Xenopus tropicalis: one gene and its partners. The protein of the gene in region 3 purifies or fractionates together with the protein of the main gene of each other region. This does not show direct contact. Links are inferred from orthologs where the notes say so. Each region holds a gene or a part of one and is shown on either strand. Other genes may lie near its edges. The genes, in order: ccdc12, dhx8, crnkl1 and ppie.

The links.
Region 1: the proteins of crnkl1 (region 3) and ccdc12 purify together in Homo sapiens (co-immunoprecipitation; 3 studies listed by BioGRID and IntAct, with this or other methods). This does not show direct contact. The link is inferred for Xenopus tropicalis from reciprocal best matches to the Homo sapiens genes CRNKL1 and CCDC12.
Region 2: the proteins of crnkl1 (region 3) and dhx8 purify together in Homo sapiens (affinity purification with mass spectrometry; 3 studies listed by BioGRID and IntAct, counting the BioPlex papers as one, with this or other methods). This does not show direct contact. The link is inferred for Xenopus tropicalis from reciprocal best matches to the Homo sapiens genes CRNKL1 and DHX8.
Region 4: the proteins of crnkl1 (region 3) and ppie purify together in Homo sapiens (affinity purification with mass spectrometry; 3 studies listed by BioGRID and IntAct, counting the BioPlex papers as one, with this or other methods). This does not show direct contact. The link is inferred for Xenopus tropicalis from reciprocal best matches to the Homo sapiens genes CRNKL1 and PPIE.

The regions. Positions count from the first base shown.
Region 1 is NC_030682.2:12,606,177-12,614,144, forward strand, and holds the start of ccdc12 (coiled-coil domain-containing protein 12), read right to left. Parts: upstream 5,297-7,968; 5' UTR 5,296-5,296; coding exon 5,218-5,295; intron 2,246-5,217; coding exon 2,184-2,245; intron 1,352-2,183; coding exon 1,272-1,351; intron 205-1,271; coding exon 143-204; intron 1-142.
Region 2 is NC_030686.2:20,713,649-20,721,076, forward strand, and holds part of dhx8 (ATP-dependent RNA helicase DHX8), read right to left. Parts: exon of another isoform or gene 7,083-7,428; intron 6,994-7,082; exon of another isoform or gene 6,804-6,993; intron 4,402-6,803; coding exon 4,329-4,401; intron 4,152-4,328; coding exon 4,066-4,151; intron 3,495-4,065; coding exon 3,400-3,494; intron 2,704-3,399; coding exon 2,407-2,703; intron 1-2,406.
Region 3 is NC_030681.2:36,931,591-36,939,018, reverse strand, and holds the end of crnkl1 (crooked neck-like protein 1), read right to left. Parts: intron 7,391-7,428; coding exon 7,212-7,390; intron 6,768-7,211; coding exon 6,597-6,767; intron 5,725-6,596; coding exon 5,533-5,724; intron 5,184-5,532; coding exon 5,124-5,183; intron 4,834-5,123; coding exon 4,753-4,833; intron 4,177-4,752; coding exon 3,937-4,176; intron 3,270-3,936; coding exon 3,168-3,269; intron 2,166-3,167; coding exon 1,917-2,165; intron 1,783-1,916; coding exon 1,612-1,782; 3' UTR 1,501-1,611; downstream 1-1,500. Other genes in the region: naa20 (N-alpha-acetyltransferase 20), read left to right, coding at 1-36. UniProt on the Homo sapiens protein: Involved in pre-mRNA splicing process. As a component of the minor spliceosome, involved in the splicing of U12-type introns in pre-mRNAs.
Region 4 is NC_030678.2:91,049,674-91,057,544, reverse strand, and holds the start of ppie (peptidyl-prolyl cis-trans isomerase E), read right to left. Parts: upstream 5,127-7,871; 5' UTR 5,097-5,126; coding exon 5,012-5,096; intron 4,922-5,011; coding exon 4,823-4,921; intron 3,239-4,822; coding exon 3,195-3,238; intron 2,735-3,194; coding exon 2,708-2,734; intron 1,077-2,707; coding exon 995-1,076; intron 908-994; coding exon 807-907; intron 625-806; coding exon 501-624; intron 1-500. UniProt on the Homo sapiens protein: Involved in pre-mRNA splicing as component of the spliceosome. Combines RNA-binding and PPIase activities.

The DNA of each region.
Region 1 (7,968 bases), on a different chromosome or scaffold from region 3:
CTGTGTGTCTTCACTCTAAGGTGTAGTCATATCAGTGGAAGTAAGCAGCTACAACTTCTAGGTTCCAGAGATTTTGAACTTTTGTGCCGTTAGGGATGAAATGAACAACTTATTGCCCAAGGACAAAACAAAGTGTACTTACTACTTCCTCAATGATTGGTTCTGGCTTGGCTGCTTCAAGCTGTTCCTTCACCTTCTCTTCCACTAGAGGGTGCAATGACACAGGGTTAGATTAGGAAAATGCATATTATAGACTTCAATGCTGTCACGCTATTATCTGTCTTAAAGGGATACTGCCATGAAATATGTATGTACCAACTTCCTTCTGGGGTCTCTAAATGCCAGGTACTTAGATAATCTGTTCAGTGGGCCCTTGGCTTTCATATTTAGGATGTTTTTTCTTGGTACCTAATGTTCTGTGGGAGATAATTGGAAGCTTTGGGGCGATTTTCAGGTATTTTTGGAAAGCATTGCGACTCCGGAGTTTGGAGTAGAAAGACATGGGTGCCCATTTTTGATTTGCCCGGGGGGGGGGGGGTCTAGAATTTTCAAACATTTTTGTAGAAACCGTTAAGTTTAAAAAAGCATTGCTGTTTGGTAAAAGACATTATTACCCATTTTGGTTTTGGTAGAATGGGTACTTTTAAAGATCAGAAATCTCTATAAAACGATACATATCAGGTATTGGCGTGTTTGGGAGACATGAGGCTTTCTGAATCAGTTGAAATTAAGTCCATAAAACAAAATATGTTTCTGGCATAAATCTCTGTATCATGAAAAATATCAGTTTTCTTTTTCTTTTGTATTTAGAGCTCTAAATCTTGTTCCAGGAGTGGAAATACACAAAAACTCAGGCAGATTTAAAGCTCCAGGTCTTCTGAAAAAAGAAAACAAAGACAACAAGGTTTTCCTAGGTAAACTCAACCCCCCCCCCCAGGAAATGCCCCTAAAGTGAGAGAAATTGTGCAGGTGTTTAAAGAGTTAAATATAAAAACATCTGTACTTTCTAAAAACAGATTACAATGCAGGATTCTGCTGGAGAAGCTCTATTAACTGATGGGTTGTTTTTTTTTTTAAACATGGCTTCCCATGACAGTATTCCCTACACAGGTAATGATCCGGACCCAAGGGCAGATAGGGCTGCACTCACAACTTGCCAATTCACTGCTAAATGACAATAACAATAAAGTACCTTCTGGCCCATCATCCATAATATGATACATGTATAGCCCCCAGTGGGATATATATGATTTAGTGGAAAGATAACCCACCTGAGATTGGCTTGGCCTGTGGTACCTGCCGCTCCTTCAGATCATCATCCTGGGGGGTGTAATTCCTCAGCTTCAGCTCCCTAAGGAACAACAGGGATAAGGATTTCATATTCCAGTGCCTGGGGGTTATCAGTGTCCCATCTATACAACCAATCCCTAGGCCCAATCATTGGGGCATACTGTAATATGACTGCCGAGGGGCTCATTCATGGGCTCAGCTGCTTGGGGGGGAACACATCAAACACAGCAAAGTAAACAACAACGCCCTGCGGTGCCCAATGCATATTAAAGGGAACGACAAACTGCTAGAGAAGCCAATTAGTACAGTATATTATATATATTCTGTTACAGTACAGTGAGTAGTGCATCACATTCCTGGTTATACACAGATACCACTGATTGTTCTCTGATCATGGAAATTATACACGCTGCACTATCATGTGACATCCACCCCACGTTAAGTCAATTACGCTTTGTTTGTACTAACGAGCAAGCAATTGCCCCCTTAGCAGGGGAGCTGAATGAGGAGTCAGTGAAACATTCCCATGGGGCCGTGCAAAATCAATTACTGACAGTATTTATCCAAAACCGGATACAGAGCCGGTTTGGTAAGTGCAATCTAACACCATGGCAGGCAAGAGACTTATGGGTAATGGCACTCACAGAGATAGTAAGTTTTTTATTTAACGTGGCCTAACCACATGGCTTCAAGGCACCCATAATCACCCTCCATTGGTTCCTATGGGAATCAGCAATCACTGTGGGCATACAGGCTTTATTCAAAGTTACATTAAAACCTCTCCATAACCCCTACACGTTTCATGCCCTGGGGCACTTAGTCAGGGGCTATGGAAATCACCTGGAAAAACAAGCGGCGGCAGTTAGTGGTTAGAGAGGGAGAAATGTACTTACCTGTGTGGTTCTTCCTCCTCTCCCACGCGCATCTTATTCTCAGGCTCCCCTTCATCTTTCTGCTGCAAATGGAATGGAGACAATGTTACAGCCCCATAGACTGACTTACTGGCTAAAGGGGAGCTGGTTGTATATGAACTGTAAGGGAGCATCACTGGGTGCTACATGGGATCCACTGTGTAATGATCCATACGTGGCAGTAGCTCAGTGGGTGATGGGTTCACTCCATACAAACACTCATACCAAATCTCTGATCAGTCACATATAAAAGGAAACTGCTTAGCATTACTTCTCCCACCGGTCGCACATACACCTGGCCACTAGATGGCACTGTTCCACAGATACCTACCACTGGTATTTAACTCATTGATGTAACTGAACCCTATATACAAGCACCATTAGGACATAAATATGATGGTATGATGTATGACAGGAACTACCCCTACCCTGGGGTACTTGAGTCCATTTTCCATTCAGAACTTGGGCCCAGAGTTCTGAGCAGCTCAGGAGCAGAAAGTACAGAGAACTTAGATCTCTAAGAATCAATAAGGGGGACTGGGTCCCCCAGTGGCTAATGTCCTTGGGGTGAAGCCTGTATGTATTTTAACCCCTTCAGTCCTGCAGGACCTCACACAATAACTAATAACTGACCCCACTGGGTTATAAGGAGCCGTTACATCTGCAAACGAGCCGCACGTTGTATTCCCAAGAACTGGTTTGTGTTGCACCATGACACAAGCGGGCAGCAGAGTAACGTGACACCCGGCTGATCACTATCTGATGCCCTTGTACAATGCCACAAGCTGCTTCCGTGGGACACGGGGATTGTGGGACATGAGAATCAGGCACAAAACAGGCAACACAAGGGCTCTGGGAGGATAAATAGAGCCCCCCCCCCCTGTGCCACGTGTAGCAACACAAAGCCTCATTCAGTAATAACCCGGGGCAGCTTTACCCTCTGCGTGCCAGCCAGCTGTATTATTTATATATTATTTCTGTAACACTCATAAACGTGCAAATGTTTCCAAAATAAACAGCATTCCTGCGGGGGTGGGGGGGGGGGGAAATGCTTTTATGGAAACAAATATTTTCGCTGCTGACTTCCCATTCTTGCTCTGCAGTTCCTATTTGACAATACAGAAGTAGAATAAGTGGGAGGTCATGGCTCATTTAGTTGCTATGGGCTAAAGAATCTGGTGGAAACTGCCCCCCCCCCCTTTCCCACAAATGCCCCCCCCCCCCATACATGCACTGGAAAGGCAGAGCTGCTCTGCACTGGTTGGTAGCCACCCTGTCCCCTGTCTGGCCACTTGATTTCCTCTCCCTCACTCCCTGGCCACAAGAACGAGGGCTGGGAGCCGGTCTGTTCCCTGCTCTAAATACACATGCTCCGGGGGGTTGCCATTTACTGTGACAGGAAGCCAAGTGGCCAAACATGGCAGCCAGCAAGTTACTTTCCAGTTCAGGTATAGGGGAGCAGGGCAGTTGTGGGAATAATGGTGTGCAGTCATAGGGTTACATTTGGGGATATTTTGATTCAAGGGCAACTAAAACTAAAAGTATAACGATGTCATTTACTGCCCTTTCAATTTATTGGGTAACAAATAGTGACTTGTGCAAATCTTAAATACCCATAATCCCTGTGAAAATGGCGCCAAAATGTCCCACAATGCCTGTGAAAATGGCGCCAAAATGTCCCACGCCTGTGAAAATGACCCAAAACGAGCATACATGTTCAGATCCGCTCATTTGGGCAATATCAGGCTCATTTGGGCAATATCAGGCTCATTTGGTCCCGAGGGCCAAACAACTGAATTACAACAACAGGAATAGGAGCCCATGGAACAAGGATCACATCAACGAGCCAATGTGCTCCCCTAATCAGACCTGCCCAATCAACACCTGGCTGGTTTTCGGGCAGATATTGATCGGGGGGACGTGGGGGGGGGGAGTTGACAGATAAGCTGCCATAAATGTCTACAGGACTCAAACTGGCAGCTTATATCTGCCCATGTATAGCCACCGTAACAATGTAATACAGCAGGGACAGCACCCCCTGTAGGAGGGCATTAGTCAGGGCACAAAGATAGCTGCTTCTGTATAGTGAGGGCAATACAGACTTTTCATTGAGACAATGAGTCTCCTATCAAAGCTGCCCAGCTCTCTGGCCTACATCTCCCATCATCCTCTAAGGGTGAAGACACACAGAGCTATTAGTAGCAGCTACTTGTCGCGGCTACTAAAATAGACAATGCTGATCATTTACTGATAATTGTCTCTGTGTGTTTTAGAAGAGGCAATTCTCAGTATTGTCTATGGCAGTGATCCCCAACCAGTGGCTCAGGGGCAACATGTTGCTCCCCAACCCCTTGGATGTTGCTCTCAGTGCCCCCAAACCAGGGAGTTATTTTTGAATTCCTGACTTGGGGGCAAGTTTTGGTTGAATAAAAACAAGATTTCCTACCAAATAAAGCCCCTGTAAGCTGATAGGGTGCATAGAGGCTGCCTAATAGGCAATCACAGCCCTTATTTGGCTCCTCCATGAACTTTTATGGTGCTTGTGTTGCTCCCCAAGTCTTTTTACATTTGACTGTGGCTCCCGAGTAAGAAAGGTTGGGGAAAAAGTAGCTGCTACTAAGTAGCCCAGTGTGTGTTCCCCCTAACAGTCTAAGCCCCGTTGTGTCTGTCTCACAGCTATAAAGCTACAATAAGAATGTTGATAGATAAAAGGTTCCGGTGCCAGGGCCCTGCCAGCACTGGGAAAGCCAGTAACAGCCCATCCAGTAGCGGAAGTTCCCGGACCCCTAATGCGGGGGAGTGAGTCCCATACACAGAGCAGCCCTACCCATGCAGAATGGCACAGCCGGAGGGCTACACGCTGTACATCCCTGAGGAACAGAATAATGTACATCCGAGTCCCACAGAGAGAAGGGAACGCAGCTTCACTGGCCGGCCGGCCTTACCCCTCCCCATACCTATACACCAGTACACACCAGTATATCCCAGCTCCCTCAATATAACTCGCCCTCCATACCCGTTTGTTCCGTAGCTCTTTCAGCCGCTCTTTCCTTCGCAAAGCTTCCACTTCCAACCTCCCCACGCTTCCCTCCATCTTCCCACAATGCTCTGCGGCCTGTCCTAGCAACAGCCAATCAGGAAGCGCTAGCCGGCCAGTAGGAACGCGAAACGTCACCAGTCGCCAGCCCACGCTAATCGACAGCCGAAGGATCTCCGCATCAATCTTCTAAGGACGGAGCGGTATAGCGAGGGGGAAGCAATGGAACGCAGAGCGCATCGATAATTTCCCGTCAGGTTATAGGATGCGATGATGATGGTTATTATTAACACGTATTTCTGATATCTAATAGAAATCTGATTGTACGGAAGCACTAGCAGTCTAATGAATGTGTCAGCAGCAAGAATGAAAGTACACTTTGCCCCCTCAGCATTTACCTCCTTTTTATTCCCACACCTTGTGTCTCAACCCTTTCTCTTTTAGATTGTAAGCTCTATTGGGCAGGGCTCTTGTATCGGTTATTGGTTGCTTCATATGTTACTCTGTATGTCCAATGTATGTAACTAACTTTATATTAATCATGCTGTGTAGAAAGTGGAATAAAACATTACCAGTGAGGTTGCTCATAGCAGCCAATCAGATGCTTTGCTTTGGTTTTCTAACTGTTGTAATCTAATTGCTGATTGGATGCCATGGGCAACATCACCTGTAATGCTTCACTCCACTTTTTACACAGTATGATCATACCTCCCAACATTTGAAAAACAAAGAGCAGCAAATTTTTGGCCACGCCCACTTTTGTGACCACGCCCCAATTAACACACCCCATTGATTTCTAAAAATACTTGTTTTATATAGTTGAAATGGTGGGATCAGATGCAAATGTGCTATTCCCTCATACTGTACTACCTAAGGAAGCCCACAGAACCCCCCCATACACAGTACCCTTTATATAAAGTACCCTTTATACACAGAGCCCCCCCATATACAGTACCCCCCATACACAGTACCCTTTATATACAGTACCCTTTATACACAGAGCCCCCCCATATACAGTACCCCCATACACAGTACCCTTTATATACAATACCCTTTATACACAGAGCCCCCCCATACACAGTGCCCTTCATACAGAGCCCCCCCATACACAGTACCCTTTATACACAGTGCCCCCCCATACACAGAGGCCCCCCAAACACAGAGGCCCCCCCATACACAGAGCCCCCCATACACAGTGCCCCCCCAAACACAGTGCCCCCCCATACACAGAGGCCCCCCAAACACAGAGGCCCCCTAAACACAGAGGCCCCCTAAACACAGAGCCCCCCATACACAGAGCCCCCCATACACAGAGGCCCACCATACACAGAGGCCCCCCATACACAGAGGCCCCCCAAACACAGAGGACCCCCATACACAGAGGCCCACCATACACAGAGTCCCCCCATACACAGAGGCCCCCCAAACACAGAGGCCCCCCATACACAGAGGCCCCCCATACACAGTGCCCCCCCAAATACAGTGCCCCCCCAAACACAGTGCCCACCATACACAGAGCCCCCTATACACAGAGGCCCCCCAAACACAGAGGCCCCCCCCAAACACAGAGGCCCCCATACACAGAGCCCCCATATGCGCTCCGACTCCTTGCGCTGCTTCTCTCCTGTGGCTCCTTCGGCGGCGCTCCCTGGCCCTTTTATAAGGTTGCGCCCCGTGTGTACGTGTGACGTCATTACGCACGGGCGCAACCTTATAAAAGGGCCAGGGAGCGCCGCCGAAGGAGCCACAGGAGAGAAGCAGCGCAAGGAGTCGGAGCGCTCATCCCGCTGTCACGGATCCTTCTATGAATGTCCCGCATTTTCGTAATCTATTACGAAAATGCGGGACATTCAGGGAACTATCCGGGACAGCGGAACGAGCTATAGAAAGCGGGACTGTTCTGCTTAAAGCGTGACAGTTGGGGGGTATGGTATGATAAATATGCCATACAGCGCTGCAGAATATGTTGGTGCTTTATAAATAAATGTTAATAATAATTCATGATTCTGTTCCCTTGTGCCAAATATCTAAAATTCAGGGTTTTTGGTCTGTTAATGTTTTAGTATAAGAGAGCCATTGATGTCAATGGAGAAATTATCACTAATCCCTGATCAAAGCCTTGGGGCAGGTATTTAGTGCTGATCAGCCCCCCCCCCACACCTACATATACATGTGAGGAATTTACTAGCGGCGCCTTTATAGCACCCAATTTGCACTCTGTTTAGTCTTTCTTAACAGGAGGGGGTGAGACAAAAGGGGAGGCAGGTGTAACAGCTGGAAAGTAGAATTGCTCAAGTTGTGCCTATGGCAGAGGTAGGTGGCTGTGTTATGGCAGCAGCTGGGGGGGGGGGGGGAGATATCCATGTCAGTAAAACACTTGCACACTTGCTGCATTAAACATATACATTCTTTCCCCCAGAGAAGCCAGGACCCACCCTCACCTTATCTCAGGTGTGCCAAGGAGCCGTGTCCCCGGGCCGTACCCCATTCATGTTAGTGTTTGCGTCACCAATACAGCCTTACGCACCCCTGTGTGACTCACCCCCACCCCTGACATTATACCTCACACCTTTTCCTATTACAGAAGCTGATGGGTGGGGGTAGCGTATAACCCTTCCCTTGCCATAGCTAGTTACTCACTGCCCCTGCATTACAGTATATATATATATATACAGTGCACACAAACATCCCTTATAATCCAATGTAAATAAAAAGCCACACCTGCAGGTG
Region 2 (7,428 bases), on a different chromosome or scaffold from region 3:
GATGTCTTTGTTAAAAGATATCAGTCAGGAGAAGGGTGCAAGAGAGTTTCCAAGGCATTAGATATACCATGAAACACAGTGAAGACAGTCATCATCAAGTGGAGAAATATGGCACAACACTGACATTACCAAGAACTGGACGTCCCTCCAAAATTGATGAAAAGACGAGAAGAAAACTGGTCAGGGAGGCTACCAAGAGGCCTAAAGCAACATTAAAGGAGCTGCAGGAATATCTGGCAAGTACTGGCTGTGTGGTACATGTGACAACAATCTCCCGTATTCTTCTTATGTCTGGGCTATGGGGTAGAGTGGCAAGGGGAAAGCCCTATCTTACGAAGAAAAACATCCAAGCCAGGCTACATTTTGCAAAAACACATCTGAAGTCTCCCAAAAGCATGTGGGAAAAGGTTTTATGGTCTGATAAAACCAAGGTTGAACTTTTTGGCCATAATTCCAAAAAATATGTTTGGCGCAAAAACAATACTGCAAATCACCAAAAGAACACCATACCCACAGTGAAGCGTGGTGGTGGTGGCAGCATCATGCGCTGGGGCTGTTTTTCTTCAGCTGGAACTGGGGCCTTAGTTAAGATAGAGGGAATTATGAACAGTTCCAAATGCCAGTCAATATTGGCACAAAACCTTTAGGCTTCTGCTAGATAGCTGAACATGAGGAGGAACTTCATCTTTCAGCATGACAACGACCCAAAGCATACATCCAAATCAACAACAGAATGGCTTCACCGGAAAAAGATTAAAGTTTTGGAATGGCCCAGCCAGAGCCCAGACCTAAATCCGATTAAAAACCTGTGGGGTGATCTGAAGAGGGCTGTGCACAGGAGATGCCCTCTGACAGATTTGGAGTGTTTCTGCAAAGAAGAGTGGGCAAATCTTGCAAAGTCAACTCATACCCAAAAAGACTGAGTGCTGTAATAAAATAAAAGGTGCTTCAACAAAGTATTAGTTTAAGACTGTGCACAATTATGCAACCACATTATTTTAGTTTTTTTGGTTTTCTTCCCTCCGCCTAAAAGATTTCATTTTGTTTTTCAATTGAGTGGTACAGTTTATAGGTCACATTAAAGGTGGAAAAAGTTGGAAAAAGGTGGAAAACACTATCACTGTCCCAGTGGGTCAGGACGTCATCATGATGACGTCCTGACTCTCTGGGACAGTGATAGTGTTTTGGGCGGCAATAACTCCTTTTTACAGCAGCGATCGGTTAATATATCTCCTCTTTAAAGCAGCGGTCGGTTAGTATATCGCTCTCCAGCAGCGATCGATTGATATCTTCTCTGCCTATACCCATGGTAAGCCCTGTCCGTTTTGTTAGAAGCTGTCTTACTTCACTTTCTGCTATTGCAACACTGTATCCAACTCCTGACTCGCTACTTTGACTGCGAGTATATGTTACACTTATTTGTTTCGCTTTTGTCTGTCTGCCTATCCTTTTAATCTCCCACTAGTAATCAACTATACATTTCAGTACTTTTATTTGATCTTTCACTTGTGATTTTTATTTTTCATGTTGTTCATTTTCATATGCTACTTGTGTATAGGGGTTACCGTGGTTACGGCCGTTTTTGTGCCATTTTGTGTAGTAGGGTATTTAAGGGGTGTGTATGCACTTTGTCTTTTGGTTTGTCCCTGAGGAAGAGCACAGTTGGTGCTCGAAACGTCGGATCTTTTTCAATAAATTCTTTTTTGTGTCCCTATGTGTGCGGTACTCTGTTTATTGCATTTTTTTGACCAGCACCTAGGGCATTCGATTGCCTGAAGGGTGTGCTCCTTTTGTTTCTATATAATAATATATATATATATATATATATATATATATATATATATATATATATATATCTGGCCACTCCTGAACTAAGGCATTCACTTAGCATAGTGAAATGCTTGACACCTCTGACTGGGAACATACTCTGTATAGTTTTTTGCAACAGTTTTTTTGCAACATGTATCCATTTGCTTACTAGCTACATAATTTTAAACTTAACCTTGTTTTCTAGCACTGCACTCCCATTCCATTTGCCTGTATATGTTGACATTTGAATTTATCCTGCTCTGGTGGGTGTGGGGCTTGTGCACGCTGGTTGCCATGGTTACTGTGGCCGTTTTTTGGCGCCATTTTATGTGGTGTGGGTAATTACTGTGGGTGTTGGGATATGGTCTGTTGGCCTGTCCCCTCAAAACGCTGGAATTTTTTCAATAAAAACACTTTTTCTTTTGTATCAAGTCCCTGTGTGTTATATATATATATATATATATATATATATATATATATATATATATATATATATATATATATATATATATATATATATATATATATATACACACACACATACACATACATACACATACATGTATATATACACATACATATACAAACTAGATTTACCTTAAGCCTTCCAGCTGGACAAAGCAGCCAAACTGCATGATACTTGTCACTTTGCCATTATATATGTCCCCAATTGCTGGCTCTTCAGGTGGCGGTCTATCAACATGCTTCTCTTTCCAAGAAGGGGCATATTTATCAGAATGGTGTTCGTTGTTACGGTGCTCCTTAATGGGGCTTCTGCTTCGTGATCTATATCTGTCTTTTGTTTTTTTGCTGCTTTGGGACCTAGAGCGAGATTTACGTTTGTGTTTGCTGCCTTTCTCCCGGCTTCGACTGCGGCTCCTCTTTTTTTTATCTCTAAGGAGAAAATAATTAAGTAAATTCTAAATATCTATCAAGAAAATGCATTCTATTATTTTAAAAGATACATATATTTTTAAATATTTTGTCATTATTTTGATACTAATTTACTATTGGGGTTTTTACACTAACCATACTCCCTTTCAAAAAGGGCAATTTATTTAAAGCTTGTTATCTAGCAGTCTTTGAGCACCAAAGAACCACTAAATACTCTTTCCCTGCCAAATATAGCAATTGCTGCTAGTAAAACATCTGAATCGCTTTATTGCACAACATTGCGTTCCTATGCTCATATACCCCAGTGAGAGGGCTCTGTGTGTAACTGTATCATGTTTTGTTATAAATGAGGAAAAATACAAGGCAATAATACACTTTTCCCCATATGTCATAAAAGGCACTAAGTTTGCACAGGAGCAATAACCCAAAGCAACCAATGAAATATCAGCTTTTAAACAGGTGGCCAGTAAATTCTAGCTGCCGATTATTTGCCCTGGGTTCCAGTTCTTGGGCACATTTTGTGCCTTTTGTTACATAACCCTTTAATTGTAGTGAAACTAGCCCAGTATTTCAGATTACTGTAATTAAAGGAGGAGCTAAGCATAACATGAATTTCTAACATTTTAGGAAACCCTGAGCAACTTATCAGCTAACCCAGGCATGAAAGACATTCGTTCATAGTTTGCAATGACATACTTGTGTTTGCTACTTCTCTCATCCTTGGGCATTAGAGCTTCAAGTTCTTGCAGTGCATCTGCAGCCACTTTTACATCATCAGGATCTAGCATGGTCTGTATGGTTATAAACAAAATATCTTAAAATTAGAAAAATGGTGAAACATAACAATTTGTTACTAACATCTCCAAGGCTGGGCCCCTAACATACTAGCTACTATGGATCGCCATGCCTTAAGCCTACAAAAAGATATTTAAAAACATTATAAAACAAGAGTGCTTGCCAACAGTATGGATCTATGTAGCTTTTACCCCACTTCCCACAAGTTACATCAGCCTAAACGTGGCCATACACAGGCCGATAAAAGCTGTCTGAGTTTGCAGCGTATCGACACATATACAGGGCCCCCAGGTGGCCCTGCCCAACCAATATCTGCACAAAAATCGCCCAGACGTTGATCTGACAGGTTAAAAGCAAGTTGAGGCAAGGAGCGCAACGGCTCGTTAATGCAGTCCTCACCCCCTTTAGGCGCACCTATTCTATTTTTTCAGCTATTGATCAAATTAGCTTTTTTAATTTATTAATTTCCTTATTACTAATAAAAAACAATTTGTGAAAATTCCATAATCCCCAATAATGTGTTTGTTAGGCTTTTTCTTTAATGTTATTTATAGGGCTTGCACTCACCCGGACACTTGGATTATCTGCCCTGCAAAGTGCGGGAAATAACTCTTTCAGCTTTTCTTTTTCATTCTTTGGCTTGATCACTGTTTCTATTGATGAACAGACATAATAGATTAGTATCATATTCAATCAAGACCAAAACACACTGTAACCCTAATAACCCCAAAGAGAATCAAATAAGACATACATAAGGTAAAATTCAAGGGTTCAACATAGTAAATGTTATACAGATATTACAATTTAATCATTAAGCCTTGTGGACTGACCTTTGCTTGTAGAGGGTTTTGCTGGAGGTCTCATTGTCTGAATCAGACGCAACAAATTGTTTATAAGGGAGTCCTGTAGAAGGTGATAAATTTTAACCAGAATCAATATCATGATTCTAATTTTAACAGCAATAAACTGTTAAAGCAAAAGGGTGAATATCAGGGCTAATTTTCACCAGATATCTTATCCAAATTAGAATACAAAAACAAAATGTATTTATGTACTACAAAGTCCTTTAATCATTTTTCAAAACCATATACACCAAGAATTTAACTGCTTTACAAAATCTATTAATACAATCTGTATTTCATCAGTGACATTGAAAGATCAAAATCATTTTCATATTTAGCTGATGTACATTAAGGGGCATTTTTTTTTTTATATTTTTTTTTTAACAAATTTTCATGACAAGCATAATTTTTGTAAATTATATACAAACATTAGCATATATATTTTAGCAGAATAGTAGTTACATTTTTCTTTAATTACATCAAATAGAAGGATGTTCAAAGTGTCAGACCTCATTTGTGGTAATAAAATCAGTAAGATACTTGTAAATAAAGTAAACAAGGAAGCACTTGTATAGCTTGATTAAATGAAACTTAATTAAAGGAGATGTGTGGGTAACGTATCGCCATATCTATACCTTATCCAGGGTTCCCATACTATTTGGAATTTTTTAAGTCTGTCTATAGTGACTCTTGTTATTAGCATTATATTATGAAATTTATCATTGGGGATTTCCAAGACTTTGCTATCTTTTGTCTAGCCGCTAGAAATATATGATTTAAGAGTTTTTGTTTGTTTTTAGGGACCTTAGTGGAAGGTAGTCCCATGAGGGCTTCATATGGGTTCTTACGCAGGTTCAAATGCAACACAGAGAAAATCATATTGTAAACTCTCACCCAAAATCTGATTGCTTTTGGACAGTGCCACCATATATGGCCCATGGTTCCAGGAGATGAACAACCTCTAAAGCAGGGATCCCCAACCTTTTATGCCTGTGAGCCACATTTAAATGAAAAAAGTGTTGGGGAGCAACACAAGCATGAAAAATAATAGGAGCTACCGGCATGTGGGGGGAGATCAGCGCATAAGTAGTAGCATTGTGGTCCCAAAGAAATAATGTGTGTGAAAAAAGAGCTTCTGCCGAATAATGATATGCTAGATGATTTTCTAAATCAATCCATAATGGTGGAGCTGATTGAATATGAAGTTATTTGGGCTAATTGTGAAGCTAAAAAATATTTTTTGAGGTTAGGAAGTCCCAATCCCCCTTCCAGCGGCCTTCTTTGTAGTGTTGCTTTATTCACTGGGCCGTGAATTTAAATGGTTACACACTTTTTAGGAGGGACAGAGAGATTAAAAAGGGTGGAGGGGTTTGTCTTTATGTAAAGTCAGATTTAAAGCCATGTAATAAAGACATTACCAATGAAAACGTATCTCTTTGGGTAGAAATTTCAGTACAGCTGAAGGTCACAAAGAAAATGATCATTGGTGTATGCTATAAACCCCCCCCGTATAGATGAGGGGGATTAGACCAAGTTATTGTTGCAAATGGAGGAGGCTTCACAACTGGGTCAAGTTGTTATTACGGGGGACTTTAATTATCCGGTCATTGACTGGAGTAATGGGGTGGCCAAGTCAGAAAAAGCTAGTAGGTTTGTAAATGTGCTAAATTACAACTTTTTATTTCAGGCGGTTCAAGAACCTACTAGGAATGACTATTTTGGACCTGGTAATATCTAATAATACTGAACTCATCTCTAACATTTGTGTGGGTGAGCATTTGGGGAACAGTGATCACAACATGGTCTCCTTTGAGATAATGCTGCAGAGACAGCTCTATAAGGGAGTAACTAAAACGCTCAATTTTAGACATGCAGACTTTGCCAGTATAAGGGCATTTCTGCAATGTGTCAACTGGGAAAGGCTTTTCATAGGGTTAGACACAGAAGGAAAATGGAACATCTTTAAAACATTGCTTTGCAAGTATACACAACAGTAACAGTATAAAACAAAACCTTTATGGCTGAATAAAAGTGTTAGTGTCGAGGTTGATAAGAAAAATAACGGATTTATACTTACGTAAATTCCTTTTCCCTCAGTCCTGAAGGCAGCACTTACTAGAGAGATGACATCCACCTGGTAGGAAAACACCACACCCCCCAATTAATTACTCCACCCCCTCATCTCCTATAAGTTCCTCTGTTCCCCTCTAGCCCTCAGTGATCTTCTCAAGCAATAAGACACATACACAATGCTGATAGAATATTTACTGTAAGGGAGGGATATTGTGCTGCCTTCGGGACTGAGGGAAAAGGAATTTACGTAAGTATAAATCCGTTATTTCCCTCACGTCCCTTGGCAGCACTTACTAGAGAGAGTTGAGTAGCAGTACGTCAAGGGGGGGTATTTTTACAAATTGAATAAAGCACCGTATTTGCGAACGCCACTTCCCCAGGGGTACCTACGTTCAGTCGGTAGTGCTCTGCAAATGTTCTGAAACTTGCCCACGAAGCTGTTCTACATATCTGGTCCACTGACACGCCTCCAACTTCTGCCTGTGAGGCTGACACTGCTCTGGTAGAATGTGCCTTGAGGTTTGGAGGTACTGGCTTCCCTGAAGCAGAATAGGCTAAGGATATTGCCTGTTTTATCCATCTGGAAATGAAAGATTTTGAGGCACGTTTCCCTTTGTTCTTCCCCCAAAAGGAAATGAAAAGGTTATGAGATACACGAAAAGGTTTTACCTTGTTTAAATAGAACAAAACACATCTTCTGGCATCCAGTAAGTGTAGCTTTCCCTCCACTTTATTTCTTGGTTCTGCAAAAAAAACTGGAAGAATGACTTCAAAGTTTCTATGAAAATTAGATGAGACTTTAGGTCTAAACAAGGGATCTGCTTTGAGGATGATCCTGTCTGGAAAAACCTGTAGACACGAATCTTTACATGATAAAGCTTGCAGTTCTCCTATGCGTCTGGCTGAACAAATTGCCACTAAAAATACTGTTTTAATGGAAAGATGATACAGGGAAGCTTCTTCCAAGGGTTCAAAGGGAACATTTTGTAAGGCTCTTAACACAATGTCTAAGTCC
Region 3 (7,428 bases):
TTACCGCATCCTGTGAGACCAGAAGACATTGAATAACCTTAGCTGTGGTTCTTAGGCAGAGTCATAAAAAGACAATTTCATCTACATATTCTATAAAGCAGCAACACCAGTCTGAGGCTTGCTAGGCCATATGCACAGTTCCTAGCGGAGAAGTTAAGTTCAGTAAATGGTTAGAGACGCATAATTACTTTTCTGTTTATTTATAAAACACACCTATTTAATCTACTGCCTCTTACACTGTAAAGTCGGTTCTTATTCAGGAAAGTTATACCTGGCCAGTTACTTTTCCAAGGCATATTGCTGGCAGACACAAATATAAATGTGACCAGAGCTGGCAGTGCATGTCACCGACTGTAATCCATATTTTTACAGACCATTTACAGCTTGCTGCTGAGTTGTGTCCTAGGACTGGAGGGCCATGCATTTTATAAGCTTCATCTTTTAAAGTAATACCGACATGTATCTAGGATTGTATTCTATGTAGAATTTTCCTGTATATTCCTTTTTATTTCCTGTCTGAAATTGCCATTTTTACAGCCATTTACAGCCTGTCCCTAACTTTTAGGGGCATTTTTATTATTGTGTGTAAGGCAATGTCACTGGTGATGTTGCCCATAGCAACCAATCAGATCTTTGCTTTTGTTTTCTAACTTCAAGGTGACAGGTCAAATCTAATTGCTGATTGGTTGCCATGAGCAACATCACAAGTCATGTAGATTTATGCCCATTAGGGTAGTGTTAGTGTGACATTTCCATATGGCTTGGAGAGTGGCAGCATTCTCATTCAGGTTATTGTCAGCGCAGTATACAGAAAAATGTACATAACATTACTTTATTTGCTAAAATGCAATAGTAAGAATTTCAGAGAGCCTTTTTATTTGGTGATTATGAAATGTGTATGTTCCTGCTGCACTAAGAACAATTGATAGATGTAATTATGTACCTTTGCCTAAGAATCCAGTGTAAATGATTCCTGTGATGTGTAACTTCCATGGATGGCTGCACTGCATTCTCTGTGATGTCCTGCAGTTTTCAGGTGCTAACAAGGTAATGACGCTGTAAATGGCTGATGGGGCAAATGTAGGCAGAATAAAATGTGCTGCTGTTTGAGTTTATATTGAATGATTGTTATAGATCTGTGTTCCAGTTTCTGACTATTAATAGGAATTGTGGCAGTAAAAACTAAGGGTCAGAGATATTAGCTTGCAAAGCAAATACTGTCTGACCGCCTAAATAAAAATTATTTGGTACTGTTTAAGGGCATTTACTAGCGTTACTAGTCATTTAAACCATAAGGGTAAAGGCAACTCAGTGTGAGGATTTTTCCTGGAATAGACAATAATTACAGTATCACATTTACATGTGCTTTCATTTTTTGCCCTCCCCAGCCTATGTAATTGAGAGTTATCAGATATATTACCCATGTGTCCTACTCATTTCTTTACAGGCAGTGATTCCCACTGTTATAGAACAATGAAGATTAAATCCTTTTAAATGTAATTATATTCAGACAGGTTTTATTTATTATTTTTTAAAAAAAAGCAGCCTTGTGAGAGTCACTGGTAAGTGGCACTATGTACAAACAAAGCAAGGACACTGGAAAAATCAGTGTCAGGAACTGCTCTCATCAATGTCTTTATCTGGATCCGGTTCATCAGTCTGCTCTTCCTCTTTCTGCTGTTTCTTCCAAAGTTTGGCCATTGCAAGCAGTTTAAGATTAGGCTGATTGGCGGCATCTTCTGGAAAGATATAATCGTAGTATTCCTCCCATCCTGCATCAGACTGGTAGAAAAAATAAAATGTTATTGATTAATAAGTGAGTTTGCAATTAGATAAATACAAAACAAAGGTATTAATAGGAAACCCATTTATACACTTGGGTTTAAGGGTAGCATGCTAGGCAGGGAAGCTCTTACCCCATCTTCTCCTTGCAGTTTTCTCCTCTTCTTGACCTTCTCTGGCATAAGTTTGGCTACTCTTTCTTTTGTGGATTCTGTCCCAAATTCCTCCTCAAAGTTTCTCCAAGATTCAAGCAGCATCAGCCTCTCCTCTTTCTCCTCACAATTTCTTAGACTCTTATTGGCTTCTTCATAGATCTGTCTGCATTTTCCCAATGTGTCCTCATTGCTGCTAGTTAATTCAAATTGTGCAAAGCTAATCCAGACCTAAGGAGGGTAAATTATAAATATAAAAAACGGTAACACTGTACATAAACCAGGTAAATATAGCATCACCTGCTGGAATGAGCTCATGGGAAAGCTACTTTTGCTCAGACACTTTTAGATAACTGAAGACTATATATTCTTAATTTACATTTAAAAGAGCAGTGTAAAAAAAAAAAACAAGAATATGCCAGTGCATATATGCTTTTAAATATAGAAGGAATGTGTTTCGGGCGGATTAAAAATTTCTCCAAAAACCCTACTAGTCTGTTCCACTCCCTGCTGCCTCCTTTCCCAGGCTGTGCAGGGGAGCCGGTGGCACTCGGCACACTGCACTGTAGGATAGGAACCAGTCATTAGCTAGGGTGACCTGATCCTGATCTCACCACTGTGTGACTGCAGGGCTGTGATTGGCTACCCCCTTCTACTGTGGATCTGTCAGGGACCATATAAAGTCCAATAAAGGGGCCCAGAGTGAAACCTGCGCCATGCATTATTGCCTGAGCACATTTTGTGGTTATGGTGACTGGAGAGCCAGTAATCTAATGCAAATTAAGGACAGTATATTTATTATATACGGCTCAATACTTAATTATAAAAAGTAGATATTTCTTTATAAACAGGGAAATTATATTTAATAATATGCATATAAATAAAACTGATTTGGAAAGCTACAAGTCTCCTTACTGTGCCAATAATAAATCTGTTTTGTGAAGATTTCTTGCCCCCACGCCGAAAATTAACACATTACACATTTACTGAATTTAGCAAAATACGTCTTTCTACTCCAAACTACAAGTTGATTTTTTTTTTAATGAAAAAAAAAAAAACTGCCTCAAACCTTGTACCTTATCTTCTCTCTCACACATAATAGCATCATCCTTAATATGAAGGACAGGGGTATTCTTAAATAGTTTGATGCCCAATTACCAAAGTCTGTGGCATGCAGAGACCTCAATGTTTATGTGCTTAATATGCTAGAAAATTGAATCTTAAGTGAAATACCTTAACGTGCTGTGTTCGTTGGAGAAGCCTCCTGTAAAGGGTTCTAGTCTTTTCAAATTCTTCTTGTTCGATTTCAAAATCAATGTAGGATTTCCAGAGCACCTGCAAATATCACACAGAGCAGGCAGCTATAAGGGGAAGTCTGAGACAGTCATATAAATAGTAGTCAAATACCATGGCGACCTTCAGCACTACAGAATGAAACCGTTCGCTAAAGAATCAGTAGTTATGCTTTGTTAGAGGAACATTTACTATTGCAACCCTCGGTAATAACACTCAGTCAAAGCAACACAGTCACTCTACAACCATTACCAAGCCGGATAAAGGGTGTCAACTGGCCAGACCAACACCGCTGTGCTACTCTGCTGGGTGTTTTTTTTTTTCAGGGTATGGTATCGTCTGAAATCCATTATCCAGAAAGCTCCAAATTACAGAAGAGCAATCTCCCATATATTTCCATTACTTGATTAAAATGGAGTCTTTTAGGATGTTTTCCTTTTTGTCTAACAATAAAACAGTACTATGTACTTGTTCCAAACTAATATTGTATTTACTTAATGTTTAAATATCCTTTAGTTAACATGGAAAACACAAGATGCCAGGTCTCCTACCTGTATGGTAATAGGGGGCAGTATAGGTAAAAAATAGGAACAAACCCTACTGGCAGACTTTTTTTTTTGTTAGGGCAGCTTGATACATTTACACCAATCTAGTGTAAAAACAAGTAAAAAATTGAGAGTCCTGTAAAAGCACAGGCATAGTTTCATACCTCAGGCATGTCAAGTCGTGGCTGTCCAATAGCCAGTTCATATATTGCACGAGCTCGTTCAGCGTCACCCAAAATAGTCTCCAGCTCTGAAAATTTTATCCATGTTGTGCAGTTCTCGGGGGCAAATTCCAGAAACTTTTCATAAAGCTTTCGGCAACGGTCAAATTCTCTTAGCTGCAGCTCCAGTTCAATGTAACCTTTAAACAGTTTGTTCTTTGGAGATTTCCCAATGGATGTGCCCTGTGTGATTAAGGCATTACTTATCTACATATATTCAACTTAGTAACAGGAAAAACAATTATTTTTGGAACTGCACTAGGCCCATTTACCAGCATTGGTTCATCAATATAATAAAATATTCAAATAAACTCCCCCCGGATAAGGCTGGAAACCTCTACAAATTTCTGAAAAGTTTTTACACTCAAAAAGAGTTGTAAGAGTTCTTTGATCTGTGGCAAGCAACAATCACTAATGGGAAACAAAACTACAATACTGTGATGTAAATCATTAATTTACTTGTAATTACCCATCTTGCTATAGATTTTTACAGAAACTCCATGACACGATTAACTATCTGAACAAACTGTTTTTTTACATTTGGTTCCCATAAGTTGCAGGATTACGACTTCCAGTATTCGTCCACATAGAGTCAAGGCATACTAGAAGTTGTAGTTTTGCAACATCTGGGAACCCAAGGTTAAGCAACAGGGATACAGACAAATATTGGGGTAGATAAAAATAGATTTTTCAAACATTTTAATATCACCGCGAGTCTTAGGATAGAAAATAGTGCTCCCTGTATTTGATGGTACTCACCAAAGCTCTTCTTGCAAATGGAAGATTTTTTTGTCTGACTTCAAACTGTGAGTACATCAGCCAGATTTTTGCAAATGTGAACTGTAAAATAAAACTAGATTAACAAGTAGCAGTAAGAGCCCTAATATTTTAAGTTAAAATTCAAGATGGCTGAAGACATAATTAAAACAACAAAATCTCTCACTCCTGTGCAGAGATCATTACTATCACGTGAGGCAGATCAGCATTCACCCCTACCTGGTGTTGTGCACAGCGGCTGAAGAGTGGGCTGTTCTGCCTAGCTACAGGCAAATCCTCAAATTTAGGACTAGAATTTAGTTCGTAAAATGACATAAGGCTCATGGAAAACAAACAATTACAAAGACTCTTACTTTTTTGTGAGGGATTAGTTCTAAGCAGGCCTGGTAGACTTGCCTTGTTCTCTCTGGGTCCTGAAATTCAAAGTATGTAAAAAAACCATTAAAATCTGTCCATTAGCTAAGTGAAAAAAAATTTGGTTTGGTTTAGGGTTATTCCTTTTTTTCCTATAACACGCTGCTTTTATAAAAGGAAATGCAACAGATCCAGTCATAATAATCACACTTTATAAAGTGTATATGATCTATGTTTTTCAGACTGTTTTCTGCATTAAGAGATGTCTGACACACAACTGCCATCTAGCGGGCAAAAATGTGCAGTGTAATTCAATGTAAATATGCAGACAAAGAATGTCTGGTGCGCGCAGGATGCTAGGTTATTACACAGTTACAAGAGTTTCTTGTGGATTACAATTTTTTTCACCTTTGCTTCTAGCTCCTCATACAAGGCATAGTTTATCCACAGATAAATGTATCTCTTCCAGTGTCTCTTCTCCTTTGTAGGTGGGACATTGGCAATAGCCCGTTCATAAACTTCTCGAACTGTGTCAGGATCAGCATCACTTTCAACCAGCCGCAGATAATCAAACCAAGCATCGTAATTATGAGGATTTGCCTGGGGAGAAAGACATTTGTATATTTATCAAGTGATTTCTCCATCTTGTGCCATTTTGTTACCTATTGCTGAATTGCTCTTCTGGCATGAGATGTGACCAACTGCAGCTGTGTTATTCATTACGAACATATTTAAAGCTCATTTCATTGTGTCACAAACATTCGGACAGCACAAGTGTTTGTTACTTCCTATTCTGTTTCTATCCTATACAAAAAATAGTGCAGTGCAGACTAGAAAAACTATGCAAGCTCAAAATAATTTATATACTGTAATATGCAAAGAAATGGAAACTACCCAAGGACTACTGTTCAGGTTATGCCATAAGAAACATGTTAAAAAAACAAAAAAAAACAAAACAGTTTTGTGGTGCCAGTCAGTATTTCTATTTACTGTGGGCCATGTGTGCTAAACTGATCTTTCACATTAAACTTATGGGCAGAGCAGTGTTTGGGTACTGATTTACTATCACCATAAAAGTAATGATAGAGGGGCAAGTCGGTCGGTCACTTTCAAAAGCAATTAACCTGCGGCATGTTGCCAGTCACACACATCAAGAAAAGAAAAATCTGTAGTGTTTGAGGTCAGCTTCTTGACTGCTGGCACTTAAGATTATTTGATCTATGGCAGGCAATCGGTTAAATCTACTTAAAACTATACACACATTGCTCCGTTGCTAGAATAGAGTTCCTAACAACATTATCTAGCAGTAAACAGACTAAAAACAGTTCAAATGCCTAGAACCACCCTAAATTGGTTTAAGTACTATAAGTACGTGTATAGCCTACTTGACCCTGGTCAACTAAATAGCTTTAGTCTTTGCAAGCTTACTCCTAGTTGTGTTTTCTGTGTTGCATAAAATATTGCTCCCTTACCTTTACTTCTTCTTCATACTGGAACCTCCGTTTGTTGACTATAATATCTTCAATACCTCTCCGGTCACCATATTTCTTCTCAAAAATAGTGTAATTCTTGAATAACTCTTGGGCCTGTTGCTTTGATATTCTGTCCAAAGCATATTTATAGATGACACGGACTCTTTCAAACTGTGTAGAGAACAATAAACATGCTGAATAGGATGTAATCCTGTTGGAACTTTAACACAGTTACAGATGTCATCTGCATCTTCTATCACCAGATGACAAACAGCACATCATCATCCCAGGCTGGTCTCCTTGGACCTAAATTACATTCTATTTCACCCGTTTGTTGGGAATGTGGCAGTTTTTAGAATTAAAACAAATTGGAAGAGTAAACACATTTTTATGTAGAGAAACTTGATTTTAAACCTATTCTAATGCAATAAGACAGTAGTAGCTACATCTAACCTCACAGGAAAGGGAGAAGATAAGGAGCTGAAAACAGTTGCTAGGGTCAATTACTGACATATACAGAGCCTTGACAAATTCATTAAATGTGCTCCCATTGATGTCTCCCAATTTAATACAGTTTAAAATAACACAGCTTGGCTAAAGTAAATTAAAACTCACTTCTTTTTGATGCTCTTCAAATTTAGCAAATGAAACATACAGGTTTTCATCCATGTGATCTTCCCCGAAGAATTCCACGGACCTTTCATAAACTTTTCGTGCGTGGGCAATATAACCGTGCTTCTCTTCAAAGCGAGCATATTTGATCCAGTTCTTCACATCAGGGTGCACAATTACAAGTACACAGATGTTAAAGAATCAAATTTTCTGTGATATT
Region 4 (7,871 bases), on a different chromosome or scaffold from region 3:
AAAGTGACTGATATTATTCTTTTACAGTGCCCAAGGGGATTCACCTCCTATTGATACCAACAGCAATTGACACTTGATGGATAGCATGCATTTGGACTGTTGCTACAAGCAGCAGTGAGAACAACACTACATAGGATAGAAGATTAAAAAGTAAATAATACTGTGTAAGAAATTTCCGTCACACCCAATCTTAGGACATAAGAGATAGAAAAGCTAGCAGGGCACAAAGAAGGATCTATTGTTGAGCTTATCCACACAGCTTACAATTAACATAAAACTATGAGGCTGATTTACAAACATAGATGATAAACTGCACAACTGTAGTAGCTAATAGCAACCAATCTTTGCTTTTATTTTCTAACTTGTAATACACAGTTCAAAACAAATTGGTTGCTACTGGCAAGCTCACTTTACCACCTATATTCTTGTAAATCAGTTCTTATATGCATAAGAAATAATAACTAAGAGCCAAAGCAACCCAAACGTTTGGAAACACACACCTACTGTCATTGGAACAATATCGGCTCTCAGCAGGAATCGAATTCGTCCAGCAGGCTTGTTCCCAATTTTGATGTCCATGTAGACTTGTGGATTTGCTCGAACTTTTTTAGGAGGCGGTTCTCCCTGTTACAAAACAGCCACAACACAACTGAATGTGAAAAAATGCCCTTTTGCATTTATGTGCATTTGAAGTACCAGAGAGGCTGCAATTATAAAATGTTCCCACTTTTTTTTTTTTTTTTTTTTTTTTTTTACAGATGTTTTGACTATTTGCCTTTCACCTCATTTGCACAAAATCCATATACCTCTTGTGTTACAGGTTTTGGGGCTTCCACCCCTTCGCCTTCTTCATTCTCTTCCAGTGTTTTTCCAGAGAATTTCTTCAGCCAGTCATCATCAGACCATACTACAATGAAGACAGTAAAATTACATACATAGCATGAAATTTCACAGGTTTTCACTGCATCTTGCACCTTCCTAATAACCAACCTACCAGCCTTGGATGACCCTTCTTTTAATCGCATAGGCTTTGCCAGGTTGACACGAATTGTTCTACCAAACAGTTCTGATTCATTCTGCAAATTCAAAAATGTTGAATTTTAAATTAAGAAATTCAAAAGGTACAAAAAAAGTAAATTCTGCAAGCTTTTATGATACTAAGACCCATTTAGGGTTTTTACCTCTGTCAACACTGCCTATTTACTAATTTCTTGCAAATACCAGCAACATTTAAGTAGGTGAATATGCTTTAAGTACATTTATAAAAACCTATTTGTCCAACATCTGGATTTGATGTAGTAATAGTCTTTTTTTGTACAAAAATACATTTTATTGTATAGGTGTGCTGAGTGCCATACATCAAATTTGGCCCCTCCTGTATCACTATAAAGCCCAAAGGTAATCAAATTTTGGGGGATACCTTGACGGAGGAACCCAAATAAGTGGATAGCAGATGCAACCTGAAATTAGGATGAAATTGAGGGTACGTGCTGGCCTTCAAACTGTTTGGATCCTTATCCTGAAGCCCATTATCCAGAAAGATCTGAAGTACAGGAAGGCCATCTCCCTTGATTTTAAGTTTTTAAAAAACATTTTCCTGTTTCTCCGTAATAATAAGCCATGTTGGAGTGTTGGCTAAGGTAAGTATCAATGGGCAGGGGGCGACTTTGAAAGGACTTTTGTCCAGAAATACTTTGGTGCTTCAACTCTTTAGTAATATTTACATGATCTTATGGATTTTTATAGGAACGTGTCAGTATTGCTTTAAAGTATGTTGATCCAAATTACTCAAGGTAATGTATTTCTACGCAGCTTGCATGTTGGGCCAAAAGGTCTAAAAAATAACTATTATAGGATACTATGGGTTTGATTTACTAATACATCTGCTAATTTGTTACACGGCAGTTACCCAGAGCAACTAATACTATCTTTACTTTTTAATTTGAAACAGGCTGGTCAAAATGAATTGCTAATTGTTTGCTGTGTGTAACTTGACCAGTGCTATTTAACTCTAGCAATTTAACAAAGTCTTATGTACATATTTACATTTTTTTGCTGTGCAAATTTAGCTTTATAGATAAAGGAAATTCATTTTGGCATTTAACTGCCAATACATTTGCCACATTAGTGCCACCTAGAACACCATATTTATTCTTACCATACCTGAGTAAAGATCCCTAGAAGCTTTCTCTGTTTGTTTAAGATAGCAGCTGCCATTTTAAGTAGCTTCCTACTTGCAGCGCTAGCTGTTGTAGCTCAGATTACACATTCCTAAAGGGTGGGGGTAGTTTAATGCATTCTTATGAACAAAGAAGAGAGGAGAGAGCAGACTCTGGCCCAGGAATGAAGGATTTTTCTGAGAGAGGAAGTCAGATACCCAAGAACATGTTCACAAAAAAGGAGACAAGAAATCCTGTGTTTCTTTTGATAGAAGACCCAGTGTAGATTTTTTGGTAGTGCTTATGGCTGTATTTACATAGAACTTTGGTAAATCTTACTTAGTACTTACCTTTGCTTCTCCAGCTTATTTATATAAAATGCATTAGACAAACTTCTAAAGCAAGTGATGGTTAACATAAATTGATATGTATATTAAGTATTAAATTACAGAATTGATGCTTTGGGACTTGCTAGCATTTCTACAAGTAAGACAGTATAAAAGGCCTAAGCACAAATTAAGTGAATAAACTACATAACCAACTCTTACCATGTTATCAATTGCAGCAGCTGCATCCTGGAAAATGGAAAAAATGCAACATTAAACAAAGATACATTCAATTGAAATAAATAATATATATTGGGCGCTGACATTGTTGGAATTCAATGTTCATCTGGGAGAAATTAGTTTGGCATACCTGACACTTTGGGCTGAACATAGCTACAGCTATCCTAAGCGAGGCCAACTGATAAAAATTGTTTCTATGTATATATAATATACATTCGTGACAATTCAGATAACATTTATGAACGTTTTTACATAAACCCAATACTTATATATTTTATTTCCTTGTAAAACCTGATTGTCCGTGTGTGAGGCACTAATTACTGGCATGTGCAATAATAGCTGCAAATCAGGCAAAAATTCTGAATTGATCCCCAGAATGAATTGCCAGAACCCCATCTCCCTCATGCACCCTAAGGGAAGAAATAGAGGATAAAGAATCCACCTTGTATAAGTTATTTTGATAACTGACCTCTGGAAGCTCAAACTCCACAAATGCAAATCCTCTGTGTTTTTCTATAAGAAAATAAGACCACCAACCATTAATACCCATACAAAATGTTGTAAACATAATTCTTTCTCAGGAGAAGCAGGAACACAGAAATCATACTAGAATGATGAACATTTAATATCAGAGAAAATATGGACAGATAAAATAACCCACAGCATCCACCCATAATTCATGGGTATGGGATAATGGATCTTTCAATAACTTGGATAACCATACTTTAAGTACACTAAAATCATTTAAACATTTAATAAACCCAATAATTTTTAATTATTTCATTAAAATGGGAGTCTATAGGAGATGGCCTTCCCGTTTCAGGATAACAGGTTTCTGGATAACAGATCTCATAGCTCTACAAATATTTGTGGTTCGTGTTATTTCTTAACCATACATGGCAAAGCCTGAAAGTGAAATTAAGACTGATATCAACTTCCTGGTTCTTACGAGTTGATAAACTCAAATTACCAGTACAATGAGATGCCCTCTATACAAACACCTACCTCCTTTCCCCAGCTGCAGTCTTTGTTAGGCTTTGAGATAAGGGGCAGCTCATTATACAGAAGGCTTATCGCTGAACTGGTAAATTGTTTTAAGAATGTAAGAATTGTGAAGCTAGAATTACTCTTGCATTCAGTTACAATATGTATTTTGAAATGTGCTTGTAATGGGTAGCTTAAAGGGGATATGTTGTGTAAGAAACAAGAATGTGCCAGTGCATTATACTCCTCTAGATATAGAAGAAATGTGCTTTAAAAGTTTTTTAATGAACTTTTATTGAAAATTTCTCCAAAAACTGTGCTGGTTCTGCCCATTTGTTCCTTGCTGCTGCCTCCTTTGCCAGGTCGTGCTGACTGCTGCCAGCTACCCTGCACACTGCATTGTAGCTTAGGAACCAATCAGCAGCTAGGCTGAGCTGATAGGGAACTGAAGCCTATCTTTGCCTGTGTGACTGCAGGGCTGTGATTTGCTGTCCCGCTCCTACTGTGCTTGTGGCAGGGACCATTAGGACACACCAACCCCTCATTTGAAACATGGACAGGGACTTTAGTGGAGCTATGGGGAGATCCAATAAAGGGGTTGTTTTAAAGATAATTATAAACTTTAGCTTAGAGTGAAACAATATAAATAATTTTTGCCTACAAGACTGAGGGATTTACAGTCATGTTACATATCTTCCTTAAACAGTGCCTGTGACCAAAATATTTCAACAGGTGCACTATACATGTCACGCCCATAAGGCCAGTTTGTAATATACTACCTTAGTGGATTTATGCATATTTAATATAGCATCATAGCTAAACTTGTCATAGCTGCAATACCTCTAAAAATAGCCAGTCTCTATAAAAATACATCATTTAACACAGCTTTTTCATGAAAGCTATACTTCGCTAGTAGTATGTGCCACTAGATATTTTCACACAGAAAAGTTGTAATTTTAATTACAAAAGTTCACCCTCGAATGAGAAATGTCACTCACACACAAACCCAGTTGCGAGACAGGCAGAAAAAGAAACTGGTGTAAATTAGATATGTGTATATAAATCCCCATGATCTTAAAATGAGCATAGTGGTGCATTAAGTTCCATACTTACCTGTTTCATAGTCTAGAGGTATCTGAATATCAGTAATATCGCCAAAAGGAATAAAAGCTGCATGCAGGATTTTTTCATCCACCTCCTCTGCAAGCCCGCCTGTTAATCACATGAATGAACAAGTTTTAGAACAGAAATTACAGCAGGAAAAGTTAAACAAAACATTTTAAAGACACTTCTCGCACTAACAAGCCCCCGTAGTCAGGAAAATATCGTGCAGCTCGGTGCCCGGATTAACAGATGGGGGTTGCAGCCCCACTATCCACGTGAACATGGCTGTCTCTCATGGCTTCTCTAGGTATTGCTACAAATAGCAGCAAAATGCTAAAGATTGCGCTCCATTTATTTTGCACTACTAACCCCGTACCTCTAAAAGAAGAAAATGCAAATGTAAAAAAGTACTAACCCACGTACAAAACTCTCTTAGTAGCCGCCATATTGCTGACGCTAACCTTTACCCTATGACCCTTACGTCACAACGTCAGCCTTCCTCCTCTAGGAAAGCGTAAATACGATGTAGACTAAACCACGGAACTCTATTGACAATGCGGGTTAAACGGATTGAATTCTAGTGGGCATTACTAATCCGTGGTATACAGGTAACGGGAAATCTAAACTCTGCTTTTGTTACCTGATGTACTCAAATACTTGTCGCCATTCGTCGGTTGCAGACATTTTGTTGGTTACAGCAGGCAGCAGATGGCGTTGGTTACATAAAAAAATAATAATATTATATATTGTCCTTTGATGGCCATTTCTAAAGTCCCGAAAATGGGAGACGTTTGGAGACCTGGCATTCTGCATCTGTAAGGCGGAGAGCTACATCTTCTGGCCTTAGAGAATAATGCTATGATGAATTTATCTGGGAGGCGTCACCCCTGGTGAACAGAACTCCGCAGCGCTTTACAGAGAGTCTGCATCATTCACTTCATCATCATTCACTTTATCAGTCACTGGCCCAGAACAGTTTAAGGTCCCTATCACATATTGTAGAGACAATTTAATCCTAAAGTAATTACATGCTGGTATGTTTATGTTTTTTATGTGGGAGTATACTCAGGACTCAGCAGAAGGCAGCACTGCTACCCACTGAGCCACCATGCTGCCTGGGCACCTGAATACAGGGCTGCTCCTGCCAGGAGGCAATGTGAGAACCTTGCTGTAGGCAGCAGTGAGTGGGCATGTACCAGGGGTGGCAAAAAGCCACCTCAGGTAACTTTGAGCTGCATTTCTAAAAATGGAGATTGAGCTCATCTAGTGCAGAGAGTGATATTCGATTGGGGGGGTCAGTGACCTCCATTTGATATAGTGATGCTGCCCCCCCAGGACCTGCTCCAATGCTGAAGAGGTAAACGCAGAGGGGGGGCGGCACAGCAGCCTTAAGATCGCTGCTGCCTGAATAGAAAACTTCTTTAAAGGTGCCCGTACAAGGGCAGATTTAAGCTGCTGATTTGGGTCCTTAAGACGGACTCAGCAGCTTATCTGCCTGTGTATAGGGCCCTCTGACAGGCCTCTCCGACCAATTTCTGGCCTAAGATTGGCCAGATTTCAGTTGGACATGCTTGATTTTTAGTCATATCACTCTCACTTTTCCTATCCCCTTCATTGCAATGCGATCATTTGACCCAAGGGCCAAATGGTCATTGTCATGTTGGAGCAGTAAGGCTCCATAGATTTTAAATTTTCAATTTCAGTCTGGTTGAAATCCACATTTGAGGGAAACCCTTCCCAGTAGGGGGTAATTCACAAATATCCCTTAAAGACACAACCAGGACTGTGGAAGGTGACAACATAAACAACTTCATCAGACAATGCGGGATCAGCCCGTTGGGGCAGGAAGCTGGGGTCTTTGATCTGTTTATCAAAGAGAGGCAAAGTGTGGGCCTAGGAACAGCAGGGGGGGACAGCATACAGAAAATATGGATTATAGAAATGGATCCATATCTCCGCTGCTTTAAGGTCCACATCATCATAAATCACATAGGATTTATGAGGAGGCCCCAGGCTTCCCAATGGTACCAAACAGGGGCGGCCTATACCCGCCAGTTAGGAGAAATGGGTTCTGGGGGACTGGGACATGAGATCCCCCTCATGTTTGGTATCATTTCGATCGCCCACATATGGGTTAAAACAATTCCCTACTTTCATAATAATATTGAGTACTGGTAAGTGCCAATATTATATGACAAGAAACTGGCATGAGAAGTACAGCTCTCTAAAGAGGGTGGGTGGGGACCACCCAAAGGGGTCATGTGACCAGTTCCTGGGCACTCCCTCCTCATGCATAAGGTAATGAGGGAGGGGCCCAGCGGGGAATAAAAGCACGCATGCCCAGATATTCTTTAGTTCATTCTGGAGGCCGCAACTTATGTTGGGGGATGGGCTCAGGACTTTCAACCTCTTGCCTCAGAGGGCACAGGATATTTGGTAACGTACTTAGGATTTCTCTGTGTTTTTATCCCCGTTTATTTTATTGACTGTTTTGCATGTATGTTTCTCTTTTGTAACATCTTTTTAAAACTGCACTGTTTACCCTGGTAATATTAAATATAAAATTTAATAAGTTTAGTCCTTTGGCTTTATATCAATTCCCACGTACCTCGTATGACTTCTCAGGCCTAGGTGTATTAACTATTTGGTGTGTGTATGTGTATTGGGTAGAGGGCAGATTCTGTGTAGGTGCTAATTAACTAGTGGGCTGCCAGCAGGGGGGTAGGTTTGACTGTAATTTTAACCCTGTGGCTGCTAGTGTGCTGTTAAATTAGTGAGAACTAACCCTAACTGCAGTAAGAAAGTTTGTGTATGAAATATTTGGGTAATTGGGTTTCTATCGCCTGTTAATGATAGATGGTGGCAGCGAATAGTTGTATTTGGGGCGGTGGTTTGTTTGGGGGTGCTTGATGTTAGTCTAACCTGGGTGAAAGGTGACTGCGTGTAACCCCTTGTTCCCCGTCCCGGTGTCAGGCGCGTCTGTGAGTGGCATGTTCCTGAGTCATATTCACACAATATTGCCCAACCATGTATGGCCCCTTAAGGCTCTCTTGCATAG